Linked DNA regions of Saccharomyces cerevisiae S288C. The protein of the gene in region 1 interacts with the protein of each later gene in a pairwise test. Each region holds a gene or a part of one and is shown in the gene's direction. Other genes may lie near its edges.

Region 1 (8,512 bases):
AGATACATTTCAATTTGAAGATAATAGCAGTAATGAAGATACACATATTGCACCTACCCATTTTGATGATGGTGCAACAAGCAACAAATACAGCCGGCCACAGGTCAGCTTCAATGATGAAACACCCAAAAATAAACGTGAAGATGCAGAAGAATTCACATTTAACGATGACACAGAATATGACAATCATTCCTTTCAGCCAACACCGAAACTTAATAATGGATCTGGGACGTTTGATGATGTGGAATTAGACAATGATAGTGGTGAACCGCACACTAACTACGATGGTATGAAAAGATTCCGGATGGGTACAAAAAGGAATAAAAAAGGAAACCCAATAATGGGAAGATCTAAGACCTTGAAATGGGCTAGGAAGAACATTCCAAACCCATTTGAAGACTTTACGAAGGATGATATTGACCCTGGTGCCATAAATCGTGCGCAAGAACTAAGGACTGTGTATTACAATATGCCCTTACCAAAAGATATGATAGATGAAGAAGGCAACCCCATTATGCAGTATCCTCGTAATAAAATCAGAACTACCAAATATACCCCGTTAACATTCTTACCAAAAAACATTCTATTTCAGTTTCATAATTTCGCCAACGTTTATTTCTTAGTTTTAATAATTTTAGGTGCATTTCAAATTTTTGGTGTCACGAACCCTGGTTTAAGTGCGGTTCCGTTAGTTGTCATTGTTATAATCACTGCGATCAAGGATGCTATTGAAGACTCAAGAAGAACCGTCCTAGATTTAGAGGTGAATAATACCAAGACACATATTTTAGAAGGTGTTGAGAACGAAAATGTCTCAACCGATAATATTTCATTGTGGAGAAGGTTTAAGAAAGCAAACTCTAGACTCCTTTTCAAGTTTATACAATATTGTAAAGAACATTTAACTGAAGAGGGCAAAAAGAAGAGAATGCAGAGAAAGCGTCATGAACTAAGAGTACAAAAAACTGTTGGAACGAGTGGACCCAGATCCTCTCTAGACTCCATTGACAGTTACAGAGTATCTGCAGATTATGGCCGTCCTTCATTGGATTATGATAATTTGGAACAAGGGGCCGGTGAAGCCAATATAGTTGATAGATCCCTACCACCCAGAACTGATTGTAAATTTGCCAAGAATTATTGGAAAGGTGTCAAGGTTGGTGATATTGTTCGTATCCATAACAATGATGAAATCCCTGCTGACATTATCTTACTTTCAACGTCGGATACAGATGGTGCCTGCTACGTAGAAACTAAAAATTTGGATGGTGAAACAAACTTAAAGGTACGCCAATCCTTGAAGTGTACCAATACTATAAGAACGTCAAAAGATATTGCTAGAACAAAATTCTGGATCGAAAGTGAAGGGCCCCACTCAAATTTGTACACTTATCAAGGTAATATGAAATGGAGAAATCTTGCAGATGGCGAGATACGAAATGAGCCAATTACTATTAATAACGTTCTGCTTCGTGGTTGCACTCTTAGAAATACTAAGTGGGCAATGGGTGTTGTAATGTTTACCGGTGGTGACACAAAAATCATGTTAAACTCTGGCATTACACCCACCAAGAAGTCCAGGATTTCAAGAGAACTAAACTTCTCTGTGGTGATAAATTTCGTGCTACTTTTCATCTTATGTTTTGTTTCTGGTATTGCAAATGGTGTATATTACGACAAAAAAGGCAGATCACGGTTTTCCTATGAATTTGGAACAATTGCTGGGTCAGCGGCGACAAACGGTTTCGTCTCATTTTGGGTTGCTGTTATTCTTTACCAATCTTTAGTCCCAATCTCTTTGTACATTTCTGTGGAGATCATCAAAACTGCACAAGCGGCCTTCATTTACGGAGACGTTTTACTCTACAATGCCAAATTGGATTATCCTTGTACACCAAAATCCTGGAATATTTCTGACGATTTAGGTCAAGTGGAATATATATTTTCTGATAAAACAGGTACATTAACTCAAAATGTAATGGAGTTTAAAAAATGTACTATCAATGGTGTTTCATATGGAAGAGCTTACACCGAAGCGTTAGCGGGATTAAGAAAAAGACAAGGTATCGACGTCGAAACCGAAGGTAGGCGTGAGAAGGCCGAAATTGCCAAGGATAGGGATACAATGATCGATGAACTGAGAGCTTTATCAGGAAATTCACAATTTTATCCCGAAGAAGTTACCTTTGTATCAAAGGAGTTCGTTCGCGATTTGAAAGGGGCTAGTGGTGAAGTACAACAAAGATGCTGTGAGCACTTTATGTTAGCATTAGCTTTATGTCACTCCGTCCTTGTAGAAGCAAACCCGGACAATCCAAAAAAACTGGATTTAAAAGCTCAATCTCCAGACGAAGCAGCGTTAGTAGCCACAGCTAGAGATGTAGGATTCAGTTTTGTTGGAAAAACCAAAAAAGGGTTGATAATTGAAATGCAAGGTATTCAAAAAGAATTTGAGATTCTAAATATTTTGGAGTTTAATTCATCGAGAAAAAGAATGTCCTGTATTGTCAAAATTCCGGGTCTGAACCCAGGGGACGAGCCTAGAGCACTTTTAATTTGTAAAGGTGCAGATTCCATTATATACTCAAGATTAAGTCGCCAGAGTGGTAGCAATAGTGAAGCTATTTTGGAAAAAACTGCTTTGCATTTAGAGCAGTACGCTACTGAAGGTTTAAGAACGTTATGCATAGCTCAAAGGGAGTTAAGTTGGTCTGAATACGAAAAATGGAACGAAAAGTACGATATTGCTGCTGCATCATTAGCAAACAGAGAGGATGAATTAGAAGTTGTTGCAGATTCCATTGAACGCGAATTGATATTATTGGGCGGTACAGCTATCGAAGATCGTTTACAAGATGGTGTTCCGGATTGTATAGAGTTGCTTGCAGAGGCAGGAATTAAATTATGGGTTCTTACGGGTGATAAAGTTGAAACAGCTATAAACATTGGATTTTCTTGCAACCTTTTGAATAATGAAATGGAATTGTTAGTTATTAAAACAACTGGTGATGACGTGAAAGAATTCGGATCAGAACCAAGTGAAATTGTGGATGCTTTACTCTCCAAATACTTGAAGGAGTATTTCAACTTAACCGGTTCAGAAGAAGAGATTTTTGAAGCTAAAAAGGATCACGAATTTCCGAAGGGTAATTACGCCATCGTTATCGATGGTGATGCTTTGAAATTGGCGCTATATGGTGAAGATATAAGAAGAAAGTTTCTTTTACTCTGCAAGAATTGTAGAGCTGTCTTATGCTGTAGAGTATCTCCATCTCAAAAAGCAGCCGTTGTTAAGTTAGTCAAGGATTCTCTAGATGTCATGACACTAGCCATCGGCGATGGTTCCAACGACGTCGCCATGATTCAATCTGCGGATGTTGGTATTGGTATTGCCGGTGAAGAAGGTCGACAAGCTGTTATGTGCTCAGACTACGCCATTGGACAATTCAGATATTTGGCTAGATTGGTCCTCGTTCACGGTAGGTGGTCTTATAAGAGACTGGCAGAAATGATTCCTGAGTTTTTTTACAAAAACATGATTTTTGCTTTGGCATTGTTCTGGTATGGTATCTATAATGATTTTGATGGGTCTTACCTGTATGAATACACATACATGATGTTCTATAATTTGGCATTTACATCCCTACCAGTCATCTTCTTAGGTATTCTGGACCAGGACGTGAATGACACAATATCATTAGTGGTCCCTCAGTTATACCGTGTTGGAATTTTAAGGAAAGAATGGAACCAAAGAAAGTTCTTATGGTATATGTTGGACGGATTATATCAGTCTATTATCTGTTTTTTTTTCCCTTACTTGGTTTATCACAAAAATATGATAGTTACGAGCAATGGGTTAGGATTGGATCATCGTTATTTTGTCGGTGTTTATGTGACCACTATTGCTGTAATTTCGTGTAACACATATGTTTTATTACACCAATATAGATGGGATTGGTTTAGTGGATTATTCATTGCACTGTCTTGCCTCGTAGTTTTTGCATGGACGGGAATATGGTCTTCTGCGATAGCTAGTAGAGAATTTTTCAAAGCTGCAGCGCGTATCTATGGAGCACCTTCATTTTGGGCTGTTTTCTTTGTTGCCGTGCTGTTCTGCTTACTGCCCCGTTTCACATATGACAGTTTTCAAAAATTTTTCTACCCAACTGATGTGGAAATAGTAAGAGAGATGTGGCAACATGGCCATTTCGATCATTATCCTCCTGGTTACGATCCAACAGATCCCAACAGACCCAAGGTCACAAAAGCTGGGCAACACGGAGAGAAGATTATAGAAGGCATAGCACTTTCCGACAACTTAGGAGGATCGAACTATTCAAGGGATAGTGTTGTCACAGAGGAGATTCCAATGACTTTCATGCACGGTGAAGATGGAAGTCCTAGCGGATATCAGAAGCAAGAAACCTGGATGACTTCACCCAAGGAAACACAAGATCTTCTTCAATCGCCCCAATTTCAGCAGGCCCAAACGTTCGGAAGAGGCCCATCAACCAACGTCAGGTCATCCTTGGACCGCACAAGAGAACAGATGATCGCCACTAACCAACTAGATAACCGCTACTCTGTGGAAAGAGCGAGAACATCTCTAGATCTACCAGGCGTAACTAACGCAGCCTCCTTAATCGGAACACAACAGAACAATTAATAATGATATCCGAACCATAGCTGATGGAACTCCGCTTTTCACTGTATATATAATATTACATAATATTACTGGATAAGCCTTAGAAGCCTTAGAAGCCTTAGAAGCCTTGGAATTCATGCATACTACAGCGTTAACTCTTTCTTTTAGCAAGTTTTAGTAGCGGACGTGTGGGTTTCTTTGTTCTATAATTAACACTCCCGGTTAACCCGGATCGCTATTATTCAAGGACGCACAATGGTGGGCTAATTTTTTCTTCCGATGGAAAACTGACGCCAGCACTTTCCAGCGCTGGGAACTCTCCACTAACTGGCAAAAAAATTGATTAAGGTCATGATCAAAGGAATTTTTGAAATGTTGTAAAGTAGAGTTAAGAATTAATCAAGCCGTGATACGTATGTTTTTGACTAGGTGAGAGACTATATTTATCAAAAATAGTTTTTTATACTAACAGAAAGTTTATTATATCATAGAAATCCTAGGCCTATTGTTATTATTTGCGTGAAAAAAGGTTCATGCCTAGTTATTCAGGATATTAATCAGGCATAGTCATAGTTTTGTAATACACGTCTTTCACTCCTATTTCCGGTTAACATTCGCTAATATCCATCAAATTATTGACTTTTTTTTCAGTGGATTTGTTGTTAATAAAGGAAACAATCAGATCAGCCATTTAGGGAAGTCTTTTAAGAAAGCTCAGAAGGAGATCTAAGACAAGAAGCAAGGCAGTCTTGATTTATCGCTCAAAACCAATAGCACATGCCGAAGAATAGTCACCACCATCGTTCCAGTTCGGTTAATTCCACAAAGAGTCGTTCTACGGAATCTACGAATAAATGGAAAATTCCGCACTATTATCGCAGATCCGCTAGCGGCAGCACACAAGCTTCGCCGGACAGGAACTCCTCAACAGGCTCATGTAGCACTCCAGTATTACCTACTATGAATGTTATGTCTAGCCCGAAAAAAGTTTTGCTAGAGGATCCCAGAGACAACCATACTAAGGCGAAGAAGAGTAGTAGAAAGAAATCAGGTGAAATGGTCTTCGTCAATTATACTGTACAGGACACGGCTAACGAAAATGATACTGACTTGCAAACCCAGCCGGTTTCTGTGCCAGCACCAAAGGCGAAATTAAAGAAGAAATCCTCCAAAAGGAGAATGCTGAAGATATTTGGATCGTCAAAGAACGAACACATAGAGGACATCGTTGAAGAGCAACCAATGGTGCTTCAAATGGATTCAGAATCTAAACCCCTTTCGGGAACCCCTATCTCAGAAAGCGGAATCGACGCCTCGTCACTAACAACCAAAAGATCTTATAACTCGTTCTTAAAACACAATAGGCTAAACGGTAAAACTCCGTTCTCTGGAAACTTGTCCTTTCCATCATTAAACATGATGGGTAACACTACTGATCTGCCTATTGACAATAACGATTTTTGTTCCGAGAAAGAAGTCGTTCCGAAATCAACTCATGATCCTTCACTAGCAAAACCGCCATCAAGGTTCACTGAAAGCGAAACAAATTCTACTCCCAACTTATCAAGTATACCTCTCATGAACACAAAAAATACAAGATTGAAGTACAATAAAGTGGCGCCTCAGAGTTCAGACCGACAAAAGTCACAGGAAAGTGGGCTATATCATTCTACCGAATCATTCAACTTCAAAGATCAAAACTACAGTAACAATAAATCCTCTTTAAGTCTGAACTCCGATTTAAGTACACCCCACTTTGCAAAGCATTCACCTGATTCACCAAGAACTTCAAGATCTTTCAACTGCGGAGACTCACAAAGTAAAGTTAAATTACCGGAAGAAAATGACGCTTCTATTGCATTTAGTAAGATGTTTACTAGAAAACGAGCCAACACTGGCGGGTCCACGTGTTCGCTAGCCTCACCCACTATTGCACAAACTATTCAGCAATCAAATATAAAAGTTAATAAATTGCCAACTCAGCGAACCACTTCAGTTGGCTCATTATCATCCATGTCAAATCGTTATTCACCAATAAGAGTTGCATCGCCAGGAAGAGCAAGATCCGCAACTCGTGGGTCTTCCCTTTATAGATTATCCAGAGACCTTAATTCTTTACCAAGCGTCACTGATCTACCAGAAATGGATAGTACAACCCCAGTTAACGAAATATTCTTGGATGGCCAACCACAGCATAAAAGTGGCAGTGTCAAAGGAGGGCATAGGAAGAAACAAGAATCTATCTCTGATGCTCAAAGAATTCAACATTCTAATTCGTACATTACAACACCTTCATCTTCTCTGGTGACTCCTCCTTACTACATGACAGGTTACACATTACCAAGTTCTGCATCTGCTTCTTCAACTCCAAATGTGCTTGAAACACACAATATGAACTTTGTTCCAAGTACCAGTACTGTTACAAGTTATCGCCCATCTAGCAATTTTTCCTCATTTGACAAAGAATACAGTAACGAAAACGACGCTAGTGGGGAATTCTCTGCTTTCAATACTCCAATGGAGAATATACCGGCACTAAAAGGTATACCTAGATCCACGTTAGAAGAAAATGAAGAAGAGGATGTCCTAGTACAAGATATTCCGAATACGGCACACTTCCAAAGAAGGGATATTATGGGGATGGATACTCACAGAAAGGATGACAGTTTAGATTTTAACTCTTTGATGCCACACGGTAGTACAACTAGTAGCAGCATCGTAGATTCTGTTATGACGAACTCAATATCCACTACAACAAGCAACGCGACCGGAAACTACTTTCAAGATCAAGATAAGTATACATTGGTAAATACGGGATTGGGATTGAGTGATGCAAACCTCGATCATTTTATTAGATCTCAATGGAAACACGCTTCTCGATCAGAATCCAATAATAATACCGGAAATCGCGTTTCTTACAGTGGCTCAACACCAAACAATGTTGATACAACAAAGACTAATTTGCAAGTGTATACCGAGTTCGATTTTGAAAACCCAGAGTCGTTTTTCCATGAGCAATCGAAGCTACTAGGTGAGATGGGCCACAGCAATAACAACAGCAACAGCGCCATCAACATGAATGAACCCAAGTCTGCGGATACATACATTGGAAATATATCTCCGGATACTTCAGCAACTGTTTCATTAGGCGACCTGATGGGCTCAAACGTTTCAAACAACAGTGAAAGAAATTTTTACGATGGTCATACTTTCGTTCCACAGTATCAGGCGAACTCATCTGTGGAAAACTCAAATAATCAAAATGCAGCACCAATTGCAAATAACGACATTGATAATAATTTACAGTCTTTTTATTTTGATAATAGCAACTAAAAAAGGAATGAAAAAAAAAAAAAAAAGTTCAAAAATAGTAACAGATATCTTTCGAAAAAGTTAAAAACTGGTAAAAAATTTTGAATAGAGTATATAAAAACTAATAAATATGTTTAGTTATCATACACCATAGAATAACTACTAGAGATATTATTTCATTTTCGTTTTCATTTTTTTTATTTTTTTCTTTTCAATAAGGTAACAGAAAGTTATTTATGCATTCTTGTTCTACATGTCTTATGTATACTAATAAGCTACTACAGGTATTTTGGTAGTATGGCTTTTAAATGAGTTATTAATTCTTGATCAGTCCCTGTAGGATTATCAAACTGCCACCTAATCGCTTCGTTATTAATTTTACCCAGCCATGGACCTGGCTTCATTTGAAGTAGTTTTGCCATTTGTTTTCCGTCCACTATTGGTTTTAGTTCATGACAATTATTCAAATTATTGTCAAATATGTAAGAATAAAATTCATTGTAATTTTGGAAAAGTAATTCAATTTTTTTAGTTTCAAGCTTGGGAATCTTTAAA
Region 2 (9,434 bases), on another chromosome or scaffold:
CATCAAATACTTGTGAAGAAGCGAGTTTCCATTCTCTGTTTCACTCGTTTGGCGTTCTCACCATCCCACTTTTATTTCATTGGCTTTTTTAACACAATAAGGCGCCTTCAGCACCTTTGCCGCGCATTAAGGATGGCCACTGACGAAAAACCGGATAAAAAAAGACGAAAAAATGCCGTCTGACCCTAGTCAGGAGCCGCCTCATACACCCTAATTATTTTGGCGCTAAGCCCTAAGCATCATTATTACCCGACATGAAGCGACAGAAGCCCTACGGATGTGCGGCTGGAAAAGAAAGTTTCATGAAGAACCAGTTGATATATATTTTACTATATACTTTTGCTGTGTATTTCTATATGAGGCTAGTTGGTTGGTGGGAACTGGAAGTGAAAGTTCTGTTCTTTAGGGTGCAGCGGTTGCTGTTGCTGTTGCTGTTGCTGTTGCTGCTGTGGTTGGATTGATGCTTGTGATGTTTGTGGTGCCTGTGGTGCTTGTGGTACAGTTTTGCTGCCAGTTTGCTGCGAGTATGTAATTATGGGGTGAGCGGCATTTACATTAGGTGCTGGATTGATGGCTGGATTTGTTTTTTCGTAAGCGGCGATACTAGGCGTTGTGCTACTTGACATGTTTGCAAATGCATTATTAAACACTGGAGGTGAGACAGACTCGGTTAGTTCCCTTTTCTTTGCAAGCTCTTCGAGCCTTTTCTTTTCTTCCTTCATTTTTTTTCTTCTTTCACGGTCTTCCTGTTGTTTTCTTTGTTTGGCCCTTATTATTTTCAATTCAGGCACAAAAATGTTGCGCAGCTCAAGTTCCAAGTCCCTGATGCACCAAGCGCAGATAAAAGTGGAGCATTCAGACAGCGGTTTGCGTTTATCAGTAGGTCTTGAAGACTTGGTGCTGGGTTCAAGTGTGGATTGGGGTCTGCGAGAAGACCTTCTATTGCCGTGCGAATTTCCCATTATGATGACGCCAAAATCACGTTGCGACAGCGTGTGCTGTGGGGATTTTGTGGTTGAAGATATAAGCTCTATAATTTTTGGAGGTTGGCATTCCCAATGCTGCCACCTGTAACAATGATCACAGCATATCAATGGGCGGTTATTGAAGAGGTCAGTCTCCGTGTCTTCGGTGATAATCATGGGCGCCAGCTCTGGTTCGCCCGGACATTGGAAAACAGAATCTTGGTTGTCGGGCTCTTGCTGCGGAGTAAAGATCCCGTAGTTGGCAAGCTCATCTAGCTCTTCCTTTGTTATGCAGAAGTCACTAGGCAATTCAGGGACGTCTCCCGTCTGTAGTGGCCCAACAGTTCCAGGAATTGGTGGTTCCACCGGGATTATACTAGATTGAAAGTTAGGGCCGTGATCAAGAACTCCGATATCGATTTCATTTAAGGGATTGTCCTCCTCCCTGCCCAAAGACGTTTCAAAAAACGGTGTACCAGAACCACTTCTATCTTTGAGCTCGTTACGCCTGGTCAATTTTTCATCTCTATAATCTTGATCGTACAATTGCCACAATTGGTTCCAAAGAAGATCTTTTATCTTTTTGATTTCCTTCGACACTAGCTTGTTTCTGTGCCTTATAAATTGTTCTCTTTCATCTAGTTTTTCAAACCACTCACTTTCCAAGTCTTTTTTCTTGTTTTCTTCCTCTTTCGCTACCAGTCTCGAAGATCTTTTCCTCCTTGTCATTAGCTCCGCAATTGCTCTCTCCTTTTCTCTGTTGGCCAAAAGTTTTGCCGAATATAGTCTATGTTCGGCATACACCGGTATTAAGTTAGTTATGAACTCATCTATGGCTTTCGAACTTTTATTCTCTGACCAGTATTCTAGCATGGACCCCCAATTAGTTGTAATCACATCATAATCAATTGTAATCGATTGAAGATATGCATCGATATCGTGAGAGTACTCGAGATGAATAAGCTCCACTGAATCAGGAATGTCTGGGTCGCTTTCTTTTATAGTACAGTTCTGTAGTTTTATTGGGATATTCAGAGTTTGAGAGACTTGGGAGGAAGAGCCTTCTTTTACTCTGTGAATGGTTTTCTTTACGAGTACACCAACATTGGGTAAGGCAAACAAGCTCTTCATTTCCTCCCCTCCACTATTATCATCATCCAGTATAACTTCACTAAACGTAAACAGATGCAAGTTATTCGCTAAGTAGTTTTTGAAGATCATATTTTTCATTTCAATTAATTTTATGATACTGTAAATGATGTCGAATTGGCGTGCAATTTCAAGCTCCAAAAAAGGTAAGTCCGTAACCAAATCTGAATACGCGCTCGAGTTTTGCAAGTGATGGTTAACTATAACATTCCAATCTTTCAATTGCCCGCTTTTATTTCCCGCTAATTGATGCAATAATTGCAATCTAATTCTGTCGTACAAATTTTGCGATCCTTCATCTACGTCGACTTCATCATTGTAATAGTTCGAGTCCTTCCCGTCTATCTTCGAAAATACGTCAGTTACAAATACACCTTCATCGAATTTGATATTCTTCCACAAGCATTTGGTAGAGCTACCGCCATACTGGTCAGTATTAAATGTCGTTGTAGTATATGATTCGCAGACATTGGAAAGCCAAGCCATCACATACTGGAAGTGCCAGTGATTGGCCAAGTCCGCGATCTTCTCATCTAATATTTCAGAATACGGCAGCTGGTGCTTGTTCAATTGGGCTATTATGTCTTCGGAGACATATTCTTTCCAGTCTTCACTATCCGCATTCGCAGCGCCGGCAGGCATGCTCGCTCCTACATTTCTTGTACCCCTAGTTCTCTTCGTTCTCATCGATCGCTGATTCACCGCTTTGTATCTATATATGATTAGCCAGTGTGTATGAGTAAAATAGAGCAATTGATCTAGTTTCTTAGTCGTGTCACTATTGAATAAATAAATGTTAATGTTGCTGGAAAGGAAGAATTATGTCACTTTTGACGCTCTCGCATTCCGTGTGCGGTGATAGCGGTAACTTGGTCTAGCAACGAAAATTTAAAAAGGTTGGAAAAGGAAAAGAAGAGCTCAAGTGGACCTAGAAGTCCTGCTTTGCCACCGTTTAAGCAAGGAATAGAGCACGCCGTTGACACAAATTCACAGTCAAGGACGGGCCACGAGAACTTTATTACAAAATATACTGCATTACACGAAATTCAGCGGAACTCTGAGCGCGAACAGCATTAGGTACCGAGAAACGCTTTTCAAAAGAAATTTCTAAAAGTTTTATTGTGCCATTAATATCGCGGCTCAATTGTTAAGTATTTCACTATGCCTAATCCGAATACAGCAGATTACTTGGTGAATCCAAATTTCAGGACCAGTAAGGGCGGATCTTTATCGCCGACGCCAGAAGCTTTCAACGACACGCGAGTTGCTGCACCAGCCACTCTTCGCATGATGGGCAAGCAATCTGGACCAAGAAATGACCAGCAACAAGCACCACTGATGCCTCCTGCAGATATCAAACAGGGCAAGGAACAGGCAGCTCAGAGACAAAATGATGCATCGAGGCCTAATGGCGCCGTGGAATTAAGGCAATTTCATAGAAGATCTTTGGGAGATTGGGAGTTCCTTGAAACGGTTGGCGCAGGCTCTATGGGTAAAGTTAAATTGGTCAAGCATCGTCAAACAAAGGAAATTTGTGTAATAAAGATTGTTAATAGGGCTTCCAAGGCTTATCTCCATAAACAGCACTCTTTACCTTCCCCAAAGAATGAGAGTGAGATATTAGAAAGACAAAAGCGGTTAGAAAAAGAAATTGCGAGGGATAAAAGGACTGTTAGGGAAGCCTCTTTGGGCCAAATCCTTTACCATCCTCATATCTGTCGTTTATTTGAAATGTGCACTATGTCAAACCATTTTTATATGCTTTTTGAATACGTTTCCGGTGGACAGCTGTTAGATTATATTATTCAGCATGGCTCATTAAAGGAACACCATGCGAGGAAATTTGCCAGAGGTATAGCTAGTGCGCTGCAATACTTACATGCCAATAATATTGTTCATCGAGATCTGAAAATTGAGAATATAATGATATCTAGTTCAGGTGAAATTAAGATCATTGATTTTGGTCTTTCCAACATTTTTGATTATAGGAAACAATTACATACGTTTTGTGGTTCCTTGTACTTTGCAGCACCAGAACTATTAAAAGCGCAGCCATACACAGGACCTGAGGTAGATATTTGGTCGTTTGGTATTGTTCTTTATGTCTTGGTCTGCGGTAAAGTACCATTTGATGATGAGAACTCAAGCATTTTACATGAAAAAATAAAAAAAGGTAAAGTAGACTATCCTTCACACTTATCCATTGAAGTTATATCTTTATTAACCAGGATGATTGTTGTCGACCCATTAAGAAGAGCAACATTAAAGAATGTCGTTGAGCATCCATGGATGAACAGAGGATACGATTTTAAGGCTCCATCATATGTTCCTAATCGTGTTCCATTAACCCCTGAAATGATAGATAGCCAAGTTCTGAAGGAAATGTATCGCCTAGAATTTATTGACGATATTGAAGATACAAGAAGATCATTGATCCGATTAGTAACTGAAAAGGAATACATCCAACTTTCCCAAGAATACTGGGACAAATTATCCAACGCCAAGGGGTTGAGTTCAAGTTTAAATAATAACTACCTAAATTCAACGGCACAACAAACCTTAATACAAAATCATATTACAAGTAATCCATCGCAAAGTGGTTATAATGAACCAGATAGTAATTTTGAAGATCCTACTTTAGCATATCATCCATTACTATCAATATATCACTTGGTTTCAGAAATGGTTGCACGGAAATTAGCGAAGTTGCAAAGAAGGCAAGCATTGGCCCTGCAAGCGCAAGCTCAGCAAAGGCAACAACAGCAACAAGTAGCACTTGGCACTAAGGTCGCCTTAAATAATAACTCCCCGGATATTATGACCAAAATGAGGAGCCCTCAGAAAGAAGTAGTACCTAATCCTGGTATTTTTCAAGTGCCGGCAATTGGAACATCGGGAACCTCAAACAACACTAATACCTCAAACAAACCTCCACTGCATGTAATGGTTCCTCCTAAACTAACAATACCGGAACAAGCGCATACTTCTCCAACATCTAGGAAGAGTTCCGACATTCATACGGAATTAAATGGTGTTTTGAAATCAACACCAGTCCCCGTGTCTGGCGAATATCAGCAACGTTCTGCTTCACCCGTAGTAGGTGAACATCAGGAAAAGAATACAATAGGCGGCATATTCAGAAGAATATCACAAAGTGGACAATCTCAGCATCCCACACGGCAACAGGAACCTCTTCCAGAAAGAGAACCTCCAACATATATGTCAAAATCAAATGAAATTTCCATCAAAGTACCGAAAAGCCATAGTCGTACTATATCAGATTATATTCCTAGCGCTAGAAGATATCCATCTTACGTGCCAAATTCTGTTGATGTAAAACAGAAACCCGCTAAAAACACTACCATAGCACCTCCTATAAGGTCAGTATCACAAAAGCAAAACAGTGATCTTCCAGCTTTACCTCAGAACGCCGAACTAATTGTTCAAAAACAACGGCAAAAACTATTACAGGAAAATCTCGACAAATTACAAATTAATGATAATGATAACAACAATGTGAACGCTGTAGTCGATGGTATCAATAATGATAATAGTGACCATTATCTCTCCGTTCCGAAGGGTCGTAAGTTACATCCTAGTGCAAGGGCTAAATCGGTGGGGCATGCTCGTCGTGAATCTTTGAAATTTACTAGGCCGCCTATACCAGCAGCCCTTCCGCCATCAGATATGACAAACGATAACGGCTTTTTGGGAGAGGCAAACAAGGAGAGATACAATCCTGTTAGCAGTAACTTTTCGACCGTTCCTGAAGATTCTACCACATACAGTAACGATACTAACAATAGACTGACTTCGGTGTATTCTCAGGAGCTTACTGAGAAGCAAATTTTGGAGGAAGCTTCAAAGGCACCCCCCGGGTCTATGCCATCAATTGATTATCCAAAGTCAATGTTTTTGAAGGGTTTTTTCTCTGTACAAACAACCTCCTCTAAACCATTGCCTATTGTTCGTCACAATATCATATCTGTTTTAACAAGAATGAATATTGATTTCAAAGAAGTGAAAGGCGGGTTCATATGTGTCCAACAAAGGCCATCTATTGAGACTGCAGCTGTCCCTGTTATAACCACTACTGGCGTGGGTTTGGATTCCGGAAAGGCGATGGATCTGCAAAATAGTTTAGACAGTCAATTATCATCCAGTTACCATAGTACAGCGTCCTCAGCATCAAGAAATAGTTCGATAAAACGCCAAGGTTCTTATAAGAGGGGCCAGAATAATATACCACTAACACCTTTAGCGACCAATACACATCAAAGAAATTCATCTATCCCAATGTCTCCAAACTACGGAAACCAAAGTAATGGTACATCAGGGGAACTATCTTCCATGTCATTAGATTATGTTCAACAACAGGATGATATTTTAACAACATCAAGAGCCCAAAATATAAATAACGTAAATGGTCAAACAGAGCAAACCAATACTTCTGGTATAAAAGAAAGGCCTCCTATTAAATTTGAGATTCACATTGTAAAGGTTCGTATCGTCGGCCTAGCAGGTGTACATTTCAAAAAGGTTTCTGGTAATACGTGGCTATATAAAGAATTGGCATCGTATATTTTAAAAGAATTAAACCTATAGATACGTTGTTCTTACTAAATATTTCAACGTGTGTCTTTCAATTTTTATTATCTAATATTTATCTTTTTTTAATATTATAGTATAATTTATTTAAGCTGAGATCTGCTTTCTTTAATCTTTCATATGATGAAATAATAGTTCTACATAAATCTATAAGAATAATAAATAAAGTAAAACAACTGCAAAAAACATCGATGTCATCCAGGATCCTTGAAAGATTTCACTCTGGAGAAGAAAAAAGATTTCTCATTTCTCAACGAACAGTTAGATGCATTCCCTTCCTTATCCACTACAATTGAACTTAGCCATTTCAACCGTTGATATCTCTTATTGCCTTGATTCTTGATTTGGAATTCTTCGATAAACGTATACTTTTCATCTGACCTTGTTATCTTTAAATGACCAAAATCATAATCAAATCCGAGGCTCCAATAACACATATGACTATGCCTGGGTTTGTTCTCTTTGGAGAAGTGCTTCACGACAGCGCTAGGTTCATCTGTAGAAAGTAATCTCAAACATTGGCCGTTCTCATAAAATCTGAAATACCTGTAATAGGTGATCATGTGAACTGGCTTTAAAAGAGATAACGAACTTTCTGCATTGGAACCGTATCTTACATAATTTACTACACTGATGTAAACACCTTCGAATTTAATATATGGCCTTTCCCTTAACATACGATAATCATCACCCCGCCATATTTCCTTTTCAAAGGTATTTATATCGGTGATTCCGTTAAGATCCATTGCCATTTTGTCGTATATTTGCTTAGAATATATGTACTTCGCGAAAGTTTTAAATGGCACAGAATCGTGGAAGCAAAGCTTGCTAAAGGTGGAACAAGTCATCGACAAATTCACCCAAGATTCACCAGACATTAATATAACTTTTTTAATAATTCTCAGTAAAATGTCGTCAGGCAAGATTTCCAGAATCCAGCAGGGTTGAAGTTCAGCATTTTCTTCAACAGATAAGTCATCTTTACCGGTTTCATTTTGTTCATCTGGAGCATCAGTAGTCATTGATAATCCCGATAGTTTTTTGTGCAGCATCCACTCATCAAGTATTTTTTTTCTGTACAGTGATTCCACATTATCATGGATTTTCAATGCACTTCGATAGAAGTTTATAGCATCTGACATTGACCCATCCTTCTCTTTCAGTACACCTTTTTCCCAAATAGCAATAGCCTCTTTAGCCCTAGGGTCCTTTTCATAATCTACTATCATTTGCTCCTTGAGTTTAGCTTATGGAACACATGTGTCGTCGCCAAAGATGATGGGGAATGTTTGCTTTTATCTTGCTCAGTCGATTTCGCTATCTAGGAACTACAATCCTTTTTTTTGTCATTTGGAAGGCTCTTTAAAATTCCGAATCGATAAGTTCGGAGGTGGGAAAGGATAGCGGTATATTCCTTCCCAAATAAAAAGGCTACAAACACATTACATAAAGAATATTTGTTCAAGTAAACATATCCTCTTCACTCAAGATTACTTCGACAAACCATCATTGGTGTTTCCACCAATCAGCATATCAATCTCATTCAATAAAGTAAAGTCAAAATTGTACTCTAAGGCAAAATCGTTACCGTGAGATAGAGTCCCTAATAAATCCATAGTTTCTGAATTATGCAAAGCATCTTCAGAGTTTTCTATGAATTTTCTAGCAAGTTCGTAATTCAGGGTAGGCGCACTTAAAAAATTTAAGAAGTCTTGTTTTCTATCCTTTTTAATCAAGTTGGACTTCATGCATTGGATGGCTAAAATCGCAGAATAAATCATGTAAATTGTGGCCTTCTCAAACGTCTTAAATTTATTTTTCCAAACTTTTAAAAGATAATACAGTTCATCAACATAACCTTCAACCAATTCCCGGCTTTGTTTGATTTCGTATATGAAAGGTTTATTATAGGAAATTAGCACGATATAGTAATGAAACCATACGTAAGCTATGGTTGGGTTAAAATCTGTCATTTCCATCAATGACCTCTTGGTCCATTGTAGTTCAGGGGGCAAATCCCTTCTCCAATTGTATACCTCCAGATTAAATTTGGCCAAGTATTCACTCCTTTGAAGTAGAGTTTCGTTTGGGCTGAAAATCTTGGATGCAAAAATCTCCGTTATTCTCGATAACACAATCAGTTTCTTCAAGGGGTTTGCAGTGGACAATATTACTTTTGGGTCATATATGTACTCCTCTATACCAGTCTCAATTTCAGGTAGCTCGTCTGTTTCTGGAACAGTGGAATTGGACAAACGCAAGGAAGTTGATCTTCCAAAGAGGATCGCTATTAAATGATCAGCAATGTAGCAGCCCCAATAAATTCTACTTCTCACTTCAAAATCCATTATTGACAGCTCGTCTTCATAAACATTACTCCATGCTTCTGGATTCAAATGTAGGCCGATTTCGTGGGCAATCCTAAATGCCAGCCCAGAAAGATACCAAGCCATGGGGTTTTCTCCGCTTCCAATGTCATAAAATGCCAAACACAATAGAGTCTGGATGATTGCTAATTTCGAAGAGGACGACGATTCAGCTAACGAAGAATCTTCCAGTTGAAAAATTTTTTTGAGTACTATCGTCTTGGCTCTTTGATAAAACACTTCAGATTGTTGAAAAAGCTCAGTTTCTGATTTGTATGAAATCAAAGATCCCAATGCAGCGATTGCAAATACCAATTCTTCGGAACAATAGTAACTTTTAGTGTTA
Region 3 (7,933 bases), on another chromosome or scaffold:
GCCTCCTTTGAAAGAGTTTGCGGGCCGTAGGAGCAGTTTACCAAGGACATCGGCTTCTGCAAACCATTTAATGAACAGAAATAAGAGCCAGATTTGGAACACTACTTCCGCTACTTTAAATGCATTTGTAAATAATACCTCTTCCTCCTCAGCAGCATCTTCTGCTTTATCTAACAAAAAACCGGGCACCCCAGTTTTCCCTAATTTGGATCCAACACATTCTCAAACATTCCATAGAGCCAACTCGTTGGCTTATTTACCTTCCATCTTACCTGAGCAAGATCCGCTGCTCAAACATAATAATTCTTTATTTCGTGGCGACTATGGAAACAACATAAGTCCTGAAAGGCCAAGTTTTAGACAACCCTTCAAGGATCAAACTAGCAATCTCCGCAATAGCAGTTTACTCAATGAGAGGGCATATCAGGAAGATGAAACTTTTTTACCGCACCATGGACCCTCTATGGATCTATTGAATGAACAAAGAGCGAACTTGAAAAGTCTTCTGAATTTATTAAACGAAACACTGGAGAAAAATACTTCCGAGAGAGCTTCGGATCTTCATATGATATCGTTGTTCAATTTGAATAAACTAATGCTTGGAGATCCCAAGAAAAATAATTCAGAACGCGATAAAAGAACTGAAAAGCTTAAAAAGATTTTGCTGGATAGTCTTGCAGAACCATTCTTTGAGCACTATAATTTTATTGGAGATAATCCGATCGCAGATACAGATGAACTAAAGGAGGAAATTGATGAATTTACAGGTTCTGGAGATACGACAGCGATAACAGATATACGGCCCCAACAGGACTATGGCCGCATATTGAGGACATTCACTTCTACCAAAAATTCCGCCCCACAGGCAATTTTTACATGTAGTCAGGAAGACCCTTGGCAATTCAGAGCTGCGAATGATCTAGCGTGCTTAGTATTCGGTATCTCACAGAATGCCATTCGCGCTTTAACCTTGATGGATTTAATTCACACCGATAGCAGAAATTTTGTTTTACACAAATTACTTTCTACGGAGGGTCAAGAAATGGTTTTCACAGGCGAAATCATTGGTATAGTTCAACCAGAAACACTCAGCTCATCCAAAGTAGTATGGGCATCGTTTTGGGCAAAAAGGAAAAACGGCTTATTAGTTTGTGTTTTCGAAAAGGTTCCTTGCGATTATGTTGATGTACTTTTGAACCTGGATGATTTTGGGGCCGAGAATATTGTAGACAAATGTGAGTTATTATCAGATGGACCCACATTGTCTTCCTCTTCTACATTATCGCTACCTAAGATGGCTTCTTCACCAACTGGTAGTAAATTAGAGTATTCGTTGGAGAGGAAAATCCTGGAAAAGAGTTATACTAAGCCTACTTCAACAGAGAATCGCAACGGCGATGAAAACCAACTTGATGGAGATAGTCATTCTGAACCATCGCTGTCATCATCGCCAGTAAGGTCGAAGAAAAGTGTAAAGTTCGCAAATGATATTAAAGACGTCAAGAGTATAAGCCAATCGTTAGCCAAATTAATGGATGATGTGAGGAATGGGGTTGTATTTGATCCCGATGACGACCTTTTGCCTATGCCCATCAAAGTTTGCAACCACATTAATGAAACAAGATATTTTACTCTAAATCATCTATCTTATAATATCCCATGCGCGGTTTCCTCCACTGTGTTGGAGGATGAGCTGAAATTAAAGATTCACAGTTTACCTTACCAGGCGGGTTTGTTTATTGTGGATTCGCATACTTTAGATATTGTAAGTTCCAATAAATCTATTTTAAAAAACATGTTTGGTTATCATTTTGCTGAGCTGGTGGGAAAATCCATTACTGAAATAATTCCTTCTTTCCCAAAATTCCTCCAATTTATAAATGACAAATATCCTGCGTTGGATATCACACTCCATAAAAATAAAGGTTTGGTATTAACAGAACATTTTTTTAGGAAAATTCAGGCAGAGATTATGGGTGATCGTAAAAGCTTTTATACGTCGGTGGGTATTGATGGCCTTCATAGGGATGGCTGTGAAATCAAAATTGATTTCCAGCTGCGTGTCATGAATTCTAAAGTGATTTTGCTTTGGGTTACACATTCGAGAGACGTGGTATTTGAAGAATATAATACAAATCCATCTCAATTGAAGATGCTGAAGGAGAGTGAATTAAGTTTAATGAGCAGTGCAAGTAGTTCTGCCAGCTCTTCCAAAAAATCTTCGTCTAGGATATCCACCGGGACATTAAAGGACATGAGTAATCTGTCAACATATGAGGATTTGGCCCACCGAACGAATAAGCTTAAGTATGAAATCGGAGATGATTCTAGAGCACATTCTCAATCTACTTTGTCCGAGCAGGAACAAGTTCCCCTGGAAAACGATAAGGACAGTGGCGAGATGATGCTTGCAGACCCCGAAATGAAGCACAAGTTAGAATTGGCCAGAATTTACTCAAGAGATAAATCTCAATTTGTGAAAGAAGGAAATTTTAAAGTTGACGAAAATTTGATTATTAGCAAAATTTCACTTTCCCCAAGCACTGAATCCTTAGCAGATTCTAAAAGTTCTGGGAAAGGGCTTTCTCCACTTGAAGAGGAAAAGCTAATTGACGAAAACGCTACAGAAAACGGATTAGCGGGATCACCTAAAGACGAAGACGGAATCATAATGACTAACAAGCGAGGAAACCAACCTGTTAGTACTTTCCTACGCACCCCCGAAAAGAACATCGGTGCTCAAAAGCATGTTAAGAAGTTTTCGGACTTCGTAAGTCTGCAAAAAATGGGTGAAGGTGCATATGGTAAGGTCAACCTATGTATTCATAAGAAGAATAGGTATATTGTGGTGATTAAGATGATTTTTAAAGAAAGAATCCTTGTAGATACATGGGTTAGAGATAGGAAATTAGGCACTATACCTTCTGAGATCCAAATTATGGCCACGTTGAACAAAAAACCACATGAGAATATTTTACGGTTACTGGATTTTTTTGAAGACGACGATTACTATTATATCGAAACTCCCGTACATGGTGAAACAGGATGTATAGATCTTTTCGATCTAATTGAATTTAAAACCAACATGACCGAATTTGAAGCAAAATTGATATTCAAGCAGGTTGTAGCGGGAATAAAACATCTACACGACCAGGGTATTGTTCACAGAGATATCAAGGATGAGAATGTTATCGTAGATTCTAAAGGCTTTGTTAAGATTATTGATTTTGGATCTGCTGCGTATGTCAAAAGCGGACCATTTGATGTTTTTGTTGGGACAATAGATTATGCTGCCCCTGAAGTCTTAGGAGGAAACCCTTATGAGGGCCAACCACAGGATATTTGGGCTATTGGTATTCTATTGTATACGGTGGTCTTCAAAGAAAACCCCTTCTACAATATAGATGAAATATTAGAAGGCGACCTGAAATTCAATAATGCAGAGGAAGTTAGTGAAGATTGCATTGAGTTAATCAAGAGTATTTTGAACCGTTGCGTACCGAAGAGACCCACCATTGACGACATAAATAACGACAAATGGTTGGTTATTTGAAGGATTAATGATCATTCTAGGACATTAGTAATTGGAAAAGAAAATGCAAAAAAATATCCAGTAGAAACAATGCTTGGTATGTCGTTCTTCTTACTTTCTTCAGTAATGAGTTGGTAGTTTTCTCTATTTAAATATGAATAAATCAATATGTACTTTCTTTCTTTAATCAAAATGTTAATATGATAAAAATACAGCATCCAAAGCAGTTAATCAAGACTTAAATATAAAAAATTTACATATTTAGAAAACAAAGATAGGGTAAATATTGAAATTACATAGTAAACCATACCTTAAAAGCAGAAATACTGATACCACATGAACTATTGATCAATACTACTGCTATTCTCTTCCTAATGCAAAGAGCTTATTACCATTATTAAATCACTACAGACGATAATACCCGGAATGCCCTTTTTGCAGGGAAAGCGAAAAAGGTGAAAGAGTTAACAGGAGAAAGTGTTAGGGAACTAAGTTACGAAGGAAGGCAGATAGCAACAATACTAACGTGGAACTTATTTCGACGACTATAACAACTGGTATCTGATTATCGAAGAATAATTGAGTGGTCAGAAAGGAGCGAAATATGTCTGGAGCAAGATCAACAACGGCAGGTGCCGTGCCCTCGGCAGCAACAACATCAACAACATCAACAACGTCAAACTCTAAGGACTCAGACTCTAACGAGTCATTATATCCCTTGGCTCTGCTTATGGATGAGTTAAAACATGATGATATTGCTAATAGGGTAGAAGCCATGAAAAAACTAGATACCATCGCGTTGGCACTCGGTCCCGAAAGAACAAGAAACGAGTTGATTCCCTTTTTAACGGAAGTTGCACAAGATGATGAAGATGAGGTGTTTGCCGTTTTAGCCGAACAGTTAGGAAAATTTGTCCCCTACATTGGCGGTCCTCAATACGCCACAATCCTATTACCAGTTTTGGAAATTTTGGCATCTGCAGAAGAAACTTTGGTTAGAGAAAAGGCCGTAGATTCTCTGAATAACGTGGCCCAAGAACTTTCTCAAGAACAATTATTTAGTGACTTCGTCCCTTTAATTGAACATTTAGCTACTGCAGATTGGTTTTCTTCAAAAGTTTCTGCTTGTGGTCTTTTCAAGTCTGTTATTGTTAGAATCAAAGATGATTCATTGAGAAAGAATATCCTGGCTTTATACTTACAACTCGCTCAAGATGATACTCCAATGGTGAAAAGGGCCGTCGGTAAAAACCTGCCCATCTTGATCGATCTGTTGACTCAAAATTTGGGATTATCTACAGACGAAGATTGGGATTACATTTCTAACATTTTCCAGAAAATCATTAACGATAATCAAGATTCTGTCAAGTTTCTGGCAGTTGATTGTTTAATTTCCATCTTGAAATTTTTTAACGCTAAAGGTGATGAGTCTCACACTCAAGATTTATTGAACTCTGCTGTCAAATTAATTGGTGACGAAGCGTGGAGGGTACGTTACATGGCTGCCGATAGATTTTCAGATTTAGCCTCGCAATTCAGTTCCAACCAAGCATATATCGATGAATTAGTACAACCATTTTTGAACCTTTGTGAGGACAACGAGGGAGATGTTAGGGAAGCTGTGGCTAAACAAGTTTCTGGGTTTGCCAAGTTCCTAAATGATCCTTCAATTATATTGAATAAGATCTTACCTGCTGTGCAGAATTTGAGTATGGACGAAAGTGAAACAGTGAGATCTGCTTTGGCTTCTAAGATTACAAATATTGTATTACTGTTGAATAAAGATCAAGTCATTAACAATTTTCTTCCGATTTTACTGAATATGCTAAGAGATGAGTTCCCTGACGTTCGTTTAAATATCATTGCCAGCTTGAAGGTTGTCAATGACGTAATAGGAATTGAGCTGCTATCAGACTCTTTGTTACCTGCCATAACAGAATTAGCCAAGGACGTGAATTGGAGAGTTAGAATGGCTATAATTGAGTACATACCTATCTTGGCAGAACAATTAGGTATGCAATTTTTTGACCAACAGTTAAGCGATTTATGTCTTTCATGGTTGTGGGATACTGTTTATTCTATCAGAGAAGCCGCAGTGAATAATTTAAAAAGGTTAACGGAAATATTTGGCTCTGATTGGTGTCGTGATGAAATTATTTCAAGACTGCTCAAATTTGATCTACAATTACTGGAAAATTTTGTCTCGAGGTTCACAATACTCTCTGCTCTAACCACTTTGGTGCCCGTGGTATCGTTAGATGTCGTTACTGAGCAACTATTACCATTCATTTCTCACTTGGCTGATGACGGTGTTCCAAATATTAGGTTTAATGTGGCCAAATCCTACGCTGTGATAGTGAAGGTTTTAATTAAGGACGAGGCCAAATATGATGCATTAATTAAGAACACAATTTTACCCTCATTGCAAACGCTGTGTCAAGACGAAGATGTTGATGTAAAATACTTCGCTAAGAAAAGTTTGGCAGAATGTCAAGAACTTTTAAAAAATTGATACTAGTTCAAATATATACATACATACACATATGTACACTTGAATGAATAAAAAGTATACATATTAACAACTAGGCCTGCTTTCTTTTCTTTTCTTTTTTTTTTTTTTTACCACACTTAGTCCTCTACTTTAACAGAAATATCATTTTCCAGTTTGACCATAGTTTCTTCAACTGTTTTCTCCTCGTGTTTAACATTGATTTCCGCCTCCACGTTCAGTTCACGTTTTCCTTCCAGGTATTTCACCCACTTTGGATAACTCATGATATTTTGCTGGATTTCCTTGTACAATTGAGACTGCAAATCCCAATCTAAGGAGCTTCTGGGATCATCCGGTGGCAAGAATTGTAACATGTCACCAAGGTTCCTCGATTTAGTGATTATTTGTCCAAATCCAACCAGCAACCCATTTATTTCTGTCCAAAGCCCCTTAGGCAGCCAATTTTGTAATTGAGTTCTTGTCTGATCTGGAGTCTTGCATTTCTGCGCATCTACCCATTTCCAAAGCTTGGTCAATCTATCCACGTGAACGTCAACGCAGATACCTTCAATCTTGCCCCATGCCTTTTGTAATGTTAGATAAGCCATTTTGGGCCCTACACCGGGCAGGCCCAATAGCTCATTAATCGTAGCTGGAACATCACTCGAAAACTGATCTTGAAGGATTTTGCAGGTTGACAAAATATACTTGGCCTTCCTTGTGTGGAACCCAACTGAATGAATCAATTCGTCTAATTTGGTCTCATTGATTTGTAAAACGGCCTCTAATGTCATACCTTCTTCGCTGTGCAGTTCGTCTATACAATACCGCATTATGTTAAGCATTGCCATTGCGGTAACTTCATCTTTTGTTTGCGATGATAGCATCACCCCAAGAAGGACCTGTAATCTGTAGTCCCTCGGTGATATCTGCTCTTTCGAGATACCACACTTAGAGGCAACCGTTACAGGAATGGATGATCCACCAATTATATCGACGGGGGCTAGAATCTTAGATCTCAGTACTCGCATTCTAGCGTATGTTTCTTGAAACTTGTAAGGGACTTTCGTCGAGGCCGGAGTGACAAGGATCGAGGGGTCCAATGGTGTGGCCCACCTGTTGGGCACATTGCCGTTTCTAACCACAATCCATTCGAAGTACTGCTTATTTGGCAGCGATTTAACCCAGTCGATATCCACGGGTTGAGGGACAACCTCTTCTTGTTTGATTTTGGTCCTTTTCTCCGGTAGGAGTTCTGATTCTGGCCCAGTTTCAGTCTTTACCAGCGGTCTTTTCCTCAGAATTGCCATAGATGAGTATTTACTGATCTTTTGCATATTTTTTTTTTTTTTGGGCTATAAAGTATATATAGATACAAATATATGATGAATCATTAAAGAGGAGGTTATTACTAAGTGAAAGAAAAAGAAAAAAAAAAAGATCAAAACCAAACTTCGTATTCGAGCCTAAAAAACAGAATATAATGTTATAATACTAATAGAAGCAACAGGAGCACCACTATCAGCACAAGAATAATCACGCAGTTGCCGTTATCCTTGAACCTAGAATTGTTAAAGCCATGCATGGACCGAGAGGCCCTGTTCAAATTCCTACCATTATTATCAATCAGGTTTTCTAAATCAACCAGCAGCGAGTCGTTCTGAGAAACGATCTCATTATTAAGGTCCAGCGAAATGTCATGAGTCCTCCCAATAGACTGAGACAGTGCGCCCAAGTGGGAATCTTGCTCTAACAACTGCTGTTGCTGGTTAATAAATAGTTCTTGGTTGGAAACCATGGGTTGTGGTGGCTGTGGCTGTGACTGTGACTGTAACTGCGATTGCAATGGTTCATCCTTGTATGGAGTATGCGTCGAAGGCAGCGGCGACTCCTCGTCTTGTTCATCGTCA
Region 4 (7,165 bases), on another chromosome or scaffold:
AGTCCTGTATTTGATATTTGTATCACTATTTCGTTGAATATATGGTTCCTCCGTACCACCCAAACGTGTAGTTTTGATGTTTTCAAGTCCATAATTAACTCTATCCTGTGAGGTCAAATCAATCATCTCATTGGTACTACCAGGTCGGTTTTGGTTTCGTGCAGTGAAGGTAGACGAGTGTCTAGGTGAAGTAGTATCTGATTCAACGGTACCACCCATTTCGGTACTCTCTTTATTAATGATATGGGGTGTACGAGATCGTATAGTAGATGGAAGAATATTGTATTCAGATATGTCGGCATCAACTTCTTTTGGTGCACGTACTTTTTGGACTGGTTCCTTGTCTAATTGTAAAGGGTTTATTGATTGGGACGAGAAGTCGTTCACTAGAGGATCAGAGTTTATTTCAATCTCCGATTGATAGTCATGATCAGATTCTGTATTTTGATCATATGACTGCTCTGTTTCATTTTGTTCAATAAAAGATTGGTTATGGGCTGTTAAACGATTGAGATCATCATCAAAAGTGAGTGTATCGTAGTCGAACTGGTCCAATTTCGTTTGCTTGTTTTGTAATATAACGTAATTGGTAGTATCTACTGTCTTTTTTAATGATGGAAGATAGATAATATAGCCATAAGAGTTTCGTGACGGATGTAAGGCGTAACCTGGAATGCCACGAGGATGTATTTTCGAGTCGGGATTATGGTTGTTAACTATAACCGGTTGACCGAAAGGTAGTATAGTAGTAATGTCCAGTCCAGCTAAACCTGCATGTTGTCTTGCAGATTTATCGTTTTTTTGGTGAGACTAATGAATTTCTGATTATAGTAGAAAATTCGACTGCTGAGAACCATAGATGATTTGGTAGACCACTGCAATGAAGCAGTGTGCGACAATCGTTTAATAAAGTACGATTTAATCGTTCAGCGACACCGTGTGCTCTAGAATCTGCCGTGGTTGTATAGCATGCAGTAATACCTCTGTTCGTAAAGAACTTATGAAGAGTTTTGTTAGTGTACTCGGAGCCACGATCCATCTGGATAACTAGAACGCGAGCATTGAATTGGTTCTTAATAAATGCTAATATCGATGTAAAAACATTGAGGATAGATTCTTCACGACGGTCGTGTAATGGGTACACCCATTGGAATCTGGTTTTCTCATCTGTAAACGATATAAAGTAAGAAGGTGCACTTTTCGGTAAGTGATGTACAGGACCAAATATATCGGTGTGCAAGTACTGAAAAGGCTCATATGATTCTTGGTACTTTAGTCGTGATCCTTTGACATGTCTATGTTTCGTGCTTTTGCCGATTAGACAGTCAGGACATTGATATGTGCTAGCGTTAGACCATTCAATATCCGATTCCTTCAAATATGTAACTGCATTCTTCTTAAGAGACTTCTGAATACTTCGGAAGTTAGCATGTCCAAGCATTCGATGTATTAACGGATATGGATATTTATTTACGCTTTTGCTTTTGTTGACGTTGTTTATTGTTAGCTTTGAAATGTGCGAAGGAATTAGGTATTTTTTAGATAACCAGTAAAAGTCTCCATGTTTGACTATGGGAGCTAGTACTGTACCATCCGATCTTTCTAAAGTGTTTCTGGTAAAGCAGGCAGTAATATTTTGATTAGCCAGCTCACTCAAACTTAATAGATCATAGGCTATGTTTGGTGTGTGTAGTGCTTTTATTGATGTTTTGGTGCCGTTCTGAAAGTTGAAGTGAAGATTACCAATGGCATTTATAGGAATGTCTTGTTTTTGAGCATCGACTATGTTTATTTCAGAATTGGGTGTTGCATGGTGTAAATAATGGGCTGATCTGACAAGCGTTTGCGAAGCTCCTGAATCAATAAGAAGGTGATCAGGTAGTTCGTCATTCGAGTCTATTGTGTGTGTTGGCTTAGATTCTTTCTGTTGCTGGCCTAAGACTAAGTTCGTCGTCATCGCTTAAGTATTGTGATGAAACGGTTGATTCATTAATGTGATCATTGTTCACCCTTGAGAATTTACTAGATGTAGCAATATTGTGAGCTTTTGCTGCTCTTGGTTTTGAACTATTTGTTCTATGATAATTACGAGTTGTAACCTTTGTGTTAGTCGTGTTTGGAGATGTGCGAGAAACATTTTTGTATTCGCTGTGTTGTTTGTATTGGGACGGTTTATTTAGATTCATGATTTTATTTTCGTCATATATTAATTGAATTTCAGCGAATAATTGGGAAAGTTTCATGTTCGTTTTGGTACGATATTGATTACGTAGGTATTTGAAGTCACCGGATAGACCTTTAAGTATTAGTTGACAGGCCAATCTGTCGCTAACATTGATATTGTTTTCTTTTAGCCTCTGAATGATCGTACTGACTGTAATTTCAAATGTATCAGCAGATGTACTTCCGTCGTACTCAAGGTTGGCAAGAGCTATCCAATCCTTTAATTCTTGATTGTTAGTTTGCATTTTGGACACACTTTTACAAAGGACTGTAAGGATGTCAGCATAATTAATTTCTAAAATTTGTTTTACCCATGTTGGCAATAAATGAAATGGGGCAAATGCTTGGAAGGTATTGTATATATACGCATGTTCTTCATAAGTCATTTGTCTTTTGATTTCACCCTGGTCATTTGGAATGATGTCACCGAGATTAGAGTTCTTCAAAAATCTGATGTAAAATTTAACCCATGTAGAAAAGTTTTCTTCTGATGTTAAAGTGTGTGGTGGTAAGACGTTATTTCCCACCTTTGTCTTAGCTTGAGGTATTTCAGAGTGTTGATTTTTTAAATCGATTGGATCAGGTGAGGAAGTACTCAGTGGTGGGATATACTGTGGCAACGGATAGTGTGGGTCCGGTTGATAATACGCAGGTGACGTTTGATAATGTGAACACGTCATCATAGATGGTTGTTGGTAATGTGCCCAGTTAGAGGCCATAGCTTTGTTTGGGGTCATCATGCCGTGCTGTTGGTACTGTCCATTCTGTGGAGGTGGTACTGAAGCAGGTTGAGGAGAGACATGATGATGGTTCTCTGGAACAGCTGATGTCCCAGGTGTTGTCTCTTGTTGAGAATTAACCTTAGTGGAATCTCTATCAAATTCCGGTAAATTGGAAGCTGAAACGGCTAACGGATCTTGATTTTATGGGACTTCCTTAGAAGTAACCGAAGCATAGGCGCTACCATGAAGAGAATGTGGATTTTGATGTAATTGTTGGGATTCCATTTTTTATAAGGCGATAATATTAGGTATGTAGATATACTAGAAGTTCTCCTCGAGGATTTAGGAATCCATAAAAGGGAATCTGCAATTCTACACAATTCTATAAATATTATTATCATCATTTTATATGTTAATATTCATTGATCCTATTACATTATCAATCCTTGCGTTTCAGCTTCCACTAATTTAGATGACTATTTTTCATCATTTGCGTCATCTTCTAACACCGTATATGATAATATACTAGTAACGTAAATACTAGTTAGTAGATGATAGTTGATTTTTATTCCAACAGTATTTATGTTTTGTCATTCTTTTCTACATAATCTTGAAACTAGGTAGATCTACAATTGAAAAGTAAATACTAACATTATTTACTAAATTTAAGTTAGAAATCGGCACGAAAAAAATTTGACAGATTACGAGAGTCCAGCCAAAATATGAGTATATTACTATTTCCCCTTGGTGAAAGAAATGAAAGATGTTATTTTTTACCGGCTTAGTAATACTGAGCTACTTACTTGGGGGAAAGAAAGATTGGCTACTTATTATGTATGAAGCCTCAGATTACCTTGAATTCCTCAACCGTTTGAGCAGTATGCTCTTCAAATTCGAACTTTTTGAACATCTTTCCTCCACATTCCTGATTTTTTCACATTCAAAACGCGCTGTGAAGCTGTTAGAAATTTACAGATCGAGGCATATTTCTATATATAATGTATTTTTATTAAGACACCCAAAGTACTTCCAATCTGTAGATATTGCACTTTATCTGACCAGAAGCCAGACTTGAACAGTTACATATTGTGCTTTGCAGTCGTTAAATTTCCCGAACTGTTTTCGTATTTTTTTTTCTTTTCCTCTTTTCCACTGGATCAGATCAAAAGCCGACTAAAAATTTGGCAATTTAAAGAAAGCATCTTTTAAAGATAGAAAAGGTTATTTCAACAAAAAAGTATCTTTTCTTCACTTTTCTTTCAACAATTCAAAGATGGCTAGAACCATAACTTTTGATATCCCTTCCCAATATAAACTCGTAGATTTAATAGGTGAGGGAGCGTACGGAACAGTATGTTCAGCAATTCATAAGCCTTCCGGCATAAAGGTAGCTATCAAGAAAATACAACCGTTTAGCAAAAAATTGTTTGTTACAAGAACTATACGTGAGATCAAGCTTTTACGGTATTTCCATGAACACGAAAACATAATAAGTATATTGGATAAAGTAAGGCCAGTATCCATAGACAAACTAAACGCTGTTTATTTAGTCGAAGAGTTGATGGAAACCGATTTACAAAAAGTAATTAATAATCAGAATAGCGGGTTTTCCACTTTAAGTGATGACCATGTTCAATACTTTACATACCAAATCCTCAGAGCCTTAAAGTCTATTCACAGTGCACAAGTTATCCATAGAGACATAAAGCCATCAAACCTGTTACTAAATTCCAATTGTGATCTCAAAGTCTGCGATTTTGGACTAGCGAGGTGTTTAGCTAGCAGTAGCGATTCAAGAGAAACATTGGTAGGATTCATGACGGAGTACGTCGCAACGCGATGGTACAGGGCACCCGAGATAATGCTAACTTTTCAAGAGTACACAACTGCGATGGATATATGGTCATGCGGATGCATTTTGGCTGAAATGGTCTCCGGGAAGCCTTTGTTCCCAGGCAGAGACTATCATCATCAATTATGGCTAATTCTAGAAGTCTTGGGAACTCCATCTTTCGAAGACTTTAATCAGATCAAATCCAAGAGGGCTAAAGAGTATATAGCAAACTTACCTATGAGGCCACCCTTGCCATGGGAGACCGTCTGGTCAAAGACCGATCTGAATCCAGATATGATAGATTTACTAGACAAAATGCTTCAATTCAATCCTGACAAAAGAATAAGCGCAGCAGAAGCTTTAAGACACCCTTACCTGGCAATGTACCATGACCCAAGTGATGAGCCGGAATATCCTCCACTTAATTTGGATGATGAATTTTGGAAACTGGATAACAAGATAATGCGTCCGGAAGAGGAGGAAGAAGTGCCCATAGAAATGCTCAAAGACATGCTTTACGATGAACTAATGAAGACCATGGAATAGTATTCACAAGAACATTTCTGCCATACTTCTAAAATTTCCCTATATTCAGCTTAGCAGTGACACGTTGTGGTCTGTAGGTCAATATGTAAGTAAGAAACTTCAACTCACATATGCACGATGCATGCCAATGGAAAAATGCAAGGAACGAAATGGCGCCACGGCAACAAGTTTTTTTTTTTCGCCAGCAGAAGTACACGAAATGCGGCTTCATGAGCCTCTTCACTGCTTTGCCTAAACGGGAAATGCAGAGAAAAACCAGCCATCGCGTGTGCTTGGAGAGCTGACGCGACTGTAATCAAAGAGGCGATATCAACACCTTTTATCCAGCACTATTCAACAGTGAATGGGCTCCCAAGTAAGTCTTGGCATTGTGCTTTCTATTCTTAAGTATTAAGTAGAAGTTTTGTTTACTGGGTTTGTTTATTCCTGGCTAGATGTTCGCATTCGTTTTCTAGTTGACCATATTTACCAAATATTCACAACTAATACCCAGCCAAGGTAGTCTAAAAGCTAATTTCTCTAAAAGGGAGAAAGTTGGTGATTTTTTATCTCGCATTATTATATATGCAAGAATAGTTAAGGTATAGTTATAAAGTTTTATCTTAATTGCCACATACGTACATTGACACGTAGAAGGACTCCATTATTTTTTTCATTCTAGCATACTATTATTCCTTGTAACGTCCCAGAGTATTCCATTTAATTGTCCTCCATTTCTTAACGGTGACGAAGGATCACCATACAACAACTACTAAAGATTATAGTACACTCTCACCTTGCAACTATTTATCTGACATTTGCCTTACTTTTATCTCCAGCTTCCCCTCGATTTTATTTTTCAATTTGATTTCTAAAGCTTTTTGCTTAGGCATACCAAACCATCCACTCATTTAACACCTTATTTTTTTTTTCGAAGACAGCATCCAACTTTATACGTTCACTACCTTTTTTTTTACAACAATTTCATTCTTCATCCTATGAAATGACGAAAATAACCAGAGATGTTTCGATAACGACAGAAAATTCAAAATCCACATCTGGATCGGCAACGGCTTCATCCGCATCTTTACCTGAGAACGACCACCCAATATTCCATCAACCGCGAGCAAGAATAAGATCTGGTTCGCTGTTCATCGAAGGATCTGATTCATTTCCATCATCAGAAGTGAAGTCATACAATGTTTATATTGATGATAGCAAGTATAGTGAAATCCTCAAAGGAGATACAAATTCAAGTAGTACTGATGGTAAACAAGTCTTTGAAGATGCTAGAGATGACAATTTCCATCAGGAATCACATAGAGATCTAGAGGATTCAATTTTAGATTTAGTACGACGAGATCCAGAAGTAGCAGCATTCCCTTTACCTCCGCCAAATTCAAATGAGAGGAACAGAAATTCCTCAAACGGGTCTTCCGCTGAAACTAACCTAAATGGACACAGCAGCAGCGGTACCATCTCTACTTCGGTGCTGTTGAATATGGGTTCGGCAGAAAAGCACGCTGGGACGACCAGAGGAGATCATATGGAATCATCTTCAATGAAATCCTTCGAGAAACTGGGAACCAGACCTTCTTCTTTATTCTATCCACCACCCGAAGGAACTGCGCCGTACCAGGGACCAAGGGCTACCGTCTCCGGAAATAAGTCTACAAGGCAAACACAAGGTACATACTCATTTCCTTCTATGCGGTATGGTGTAGATCTTGTTTCTCCTGTGGAAGGGGCTGTTGATGTAGCAAAAAGCAGAGTTCCTAACAGCACGCTAAATGGTACTTTTCCCGATAAAGCGTTTATCCCACATGAATTTCAAATTCCTAAAAAGGCCTGGAACAGAATA

Evidence for each region.
Region 2: the proteins of BCK2 (region 1) and KIN2 interact in binary tests that used the Saccharomyces cerevisiae proteins (3 or more experiments, as listed by UniProt).
Region 3: the proteins of BCK2 (region 1) and TPD3 interact in a two-hybrid assay, tested with the Saccharomyces cerevisiae proteins (one study listed by BioGRID).
Region 4: the proteins of BCK2 (region 1) and KSS1 interact in binary tests that used the Saccharomyces cerevisiae proteins (3 or more experiments, as listed by UniProt).

What each region holds. Positions count from the first base shown.
Region 1 is NC_001137.3:512,794-521,305, forward strand, and holds BCK2 (Bck2p), read left to right. Parts: upstream 1-5,422; coding exon 5,423-7,978; downstream 7,979-8,512. Other genes in the region: aminophospholipid-translocating P4-type ATPase DNF1, read left to right, coding at 1-4,666; CCA1 (tRNA adenylyltransferase), read right to left, coding at 8,236-8,512. UniProt on the Saccharomyces cerevisiae protein: Dosage dependent suppressor of PKC1 deletion and MPK1 deletion. Involved in cell lysis.
Region 2 is NC_001144.5:329,315-338,748, forward strand, and holds KIN2 (serine/threonine protein kinase KIN2), read left to right. Parts: upstream 1-3,275; coding exon 3,276-6,719; downstream 6,720-9,434. Other genes in the region: IOC2 (Ioc2p), read right to left, coding at 363-2,801; SCF ubiquitin ligase complex subunit HRT3, read right to left, coding at 6,917-7,951; CHA4 (Cha4p), read right to left, coding at 8,213-9,434.
Region 3 is NC_001133.9:120,743-128,675, forward strand, and holds TPD3 (protein phosphatase 2A structural subunit TPD3), read left to right. Parts: upstream 1-4,136; coding exon 4,137-6,044; downstream 6,045-7,933. Other genes in the region: serine/threonine protein kinase PSK1, read left to right, coding at 1-3,553; bifunctional N-glycosylase/AP lyase NTG1, read right to left, coding at 6,161-7,360; SYN8 (syntaxin), read right to left, coding at 7,510-7,933. UniProt on the Saccharomyces cerevisiae protein: Phosphatase 2A affects a variety of biological processes in the cell such as transcription, cell cycle progression and cellular morphogenesis, and provides an initial identification of critical substrates for this phosphatase.
Region 4 is NC_001139.9:571,180-578,344, forward strand, and holds KSS1 (mitogen-activated serine/threonine-protein kinase KSS1), read left to right. Parts: upstream 1-4,218; coding exon 4,219-5,325; downstream 5,326-7,165. Other genes in the region: YGR039W (uncharacterized protein), read left to right, coding at 3,709-4,020; BUD9 (Bud9p), read left to right, coding at 6,308-7,165. UniProt on the Saccharomyces cerevisiae protein: Together with closely related FUS3, KSS1 is the final kinase in the signal transduction cascade regulating activation/repression of the mating and filamentation pathways, induced by pheromone and nitrogen/carbon limitation, respectively.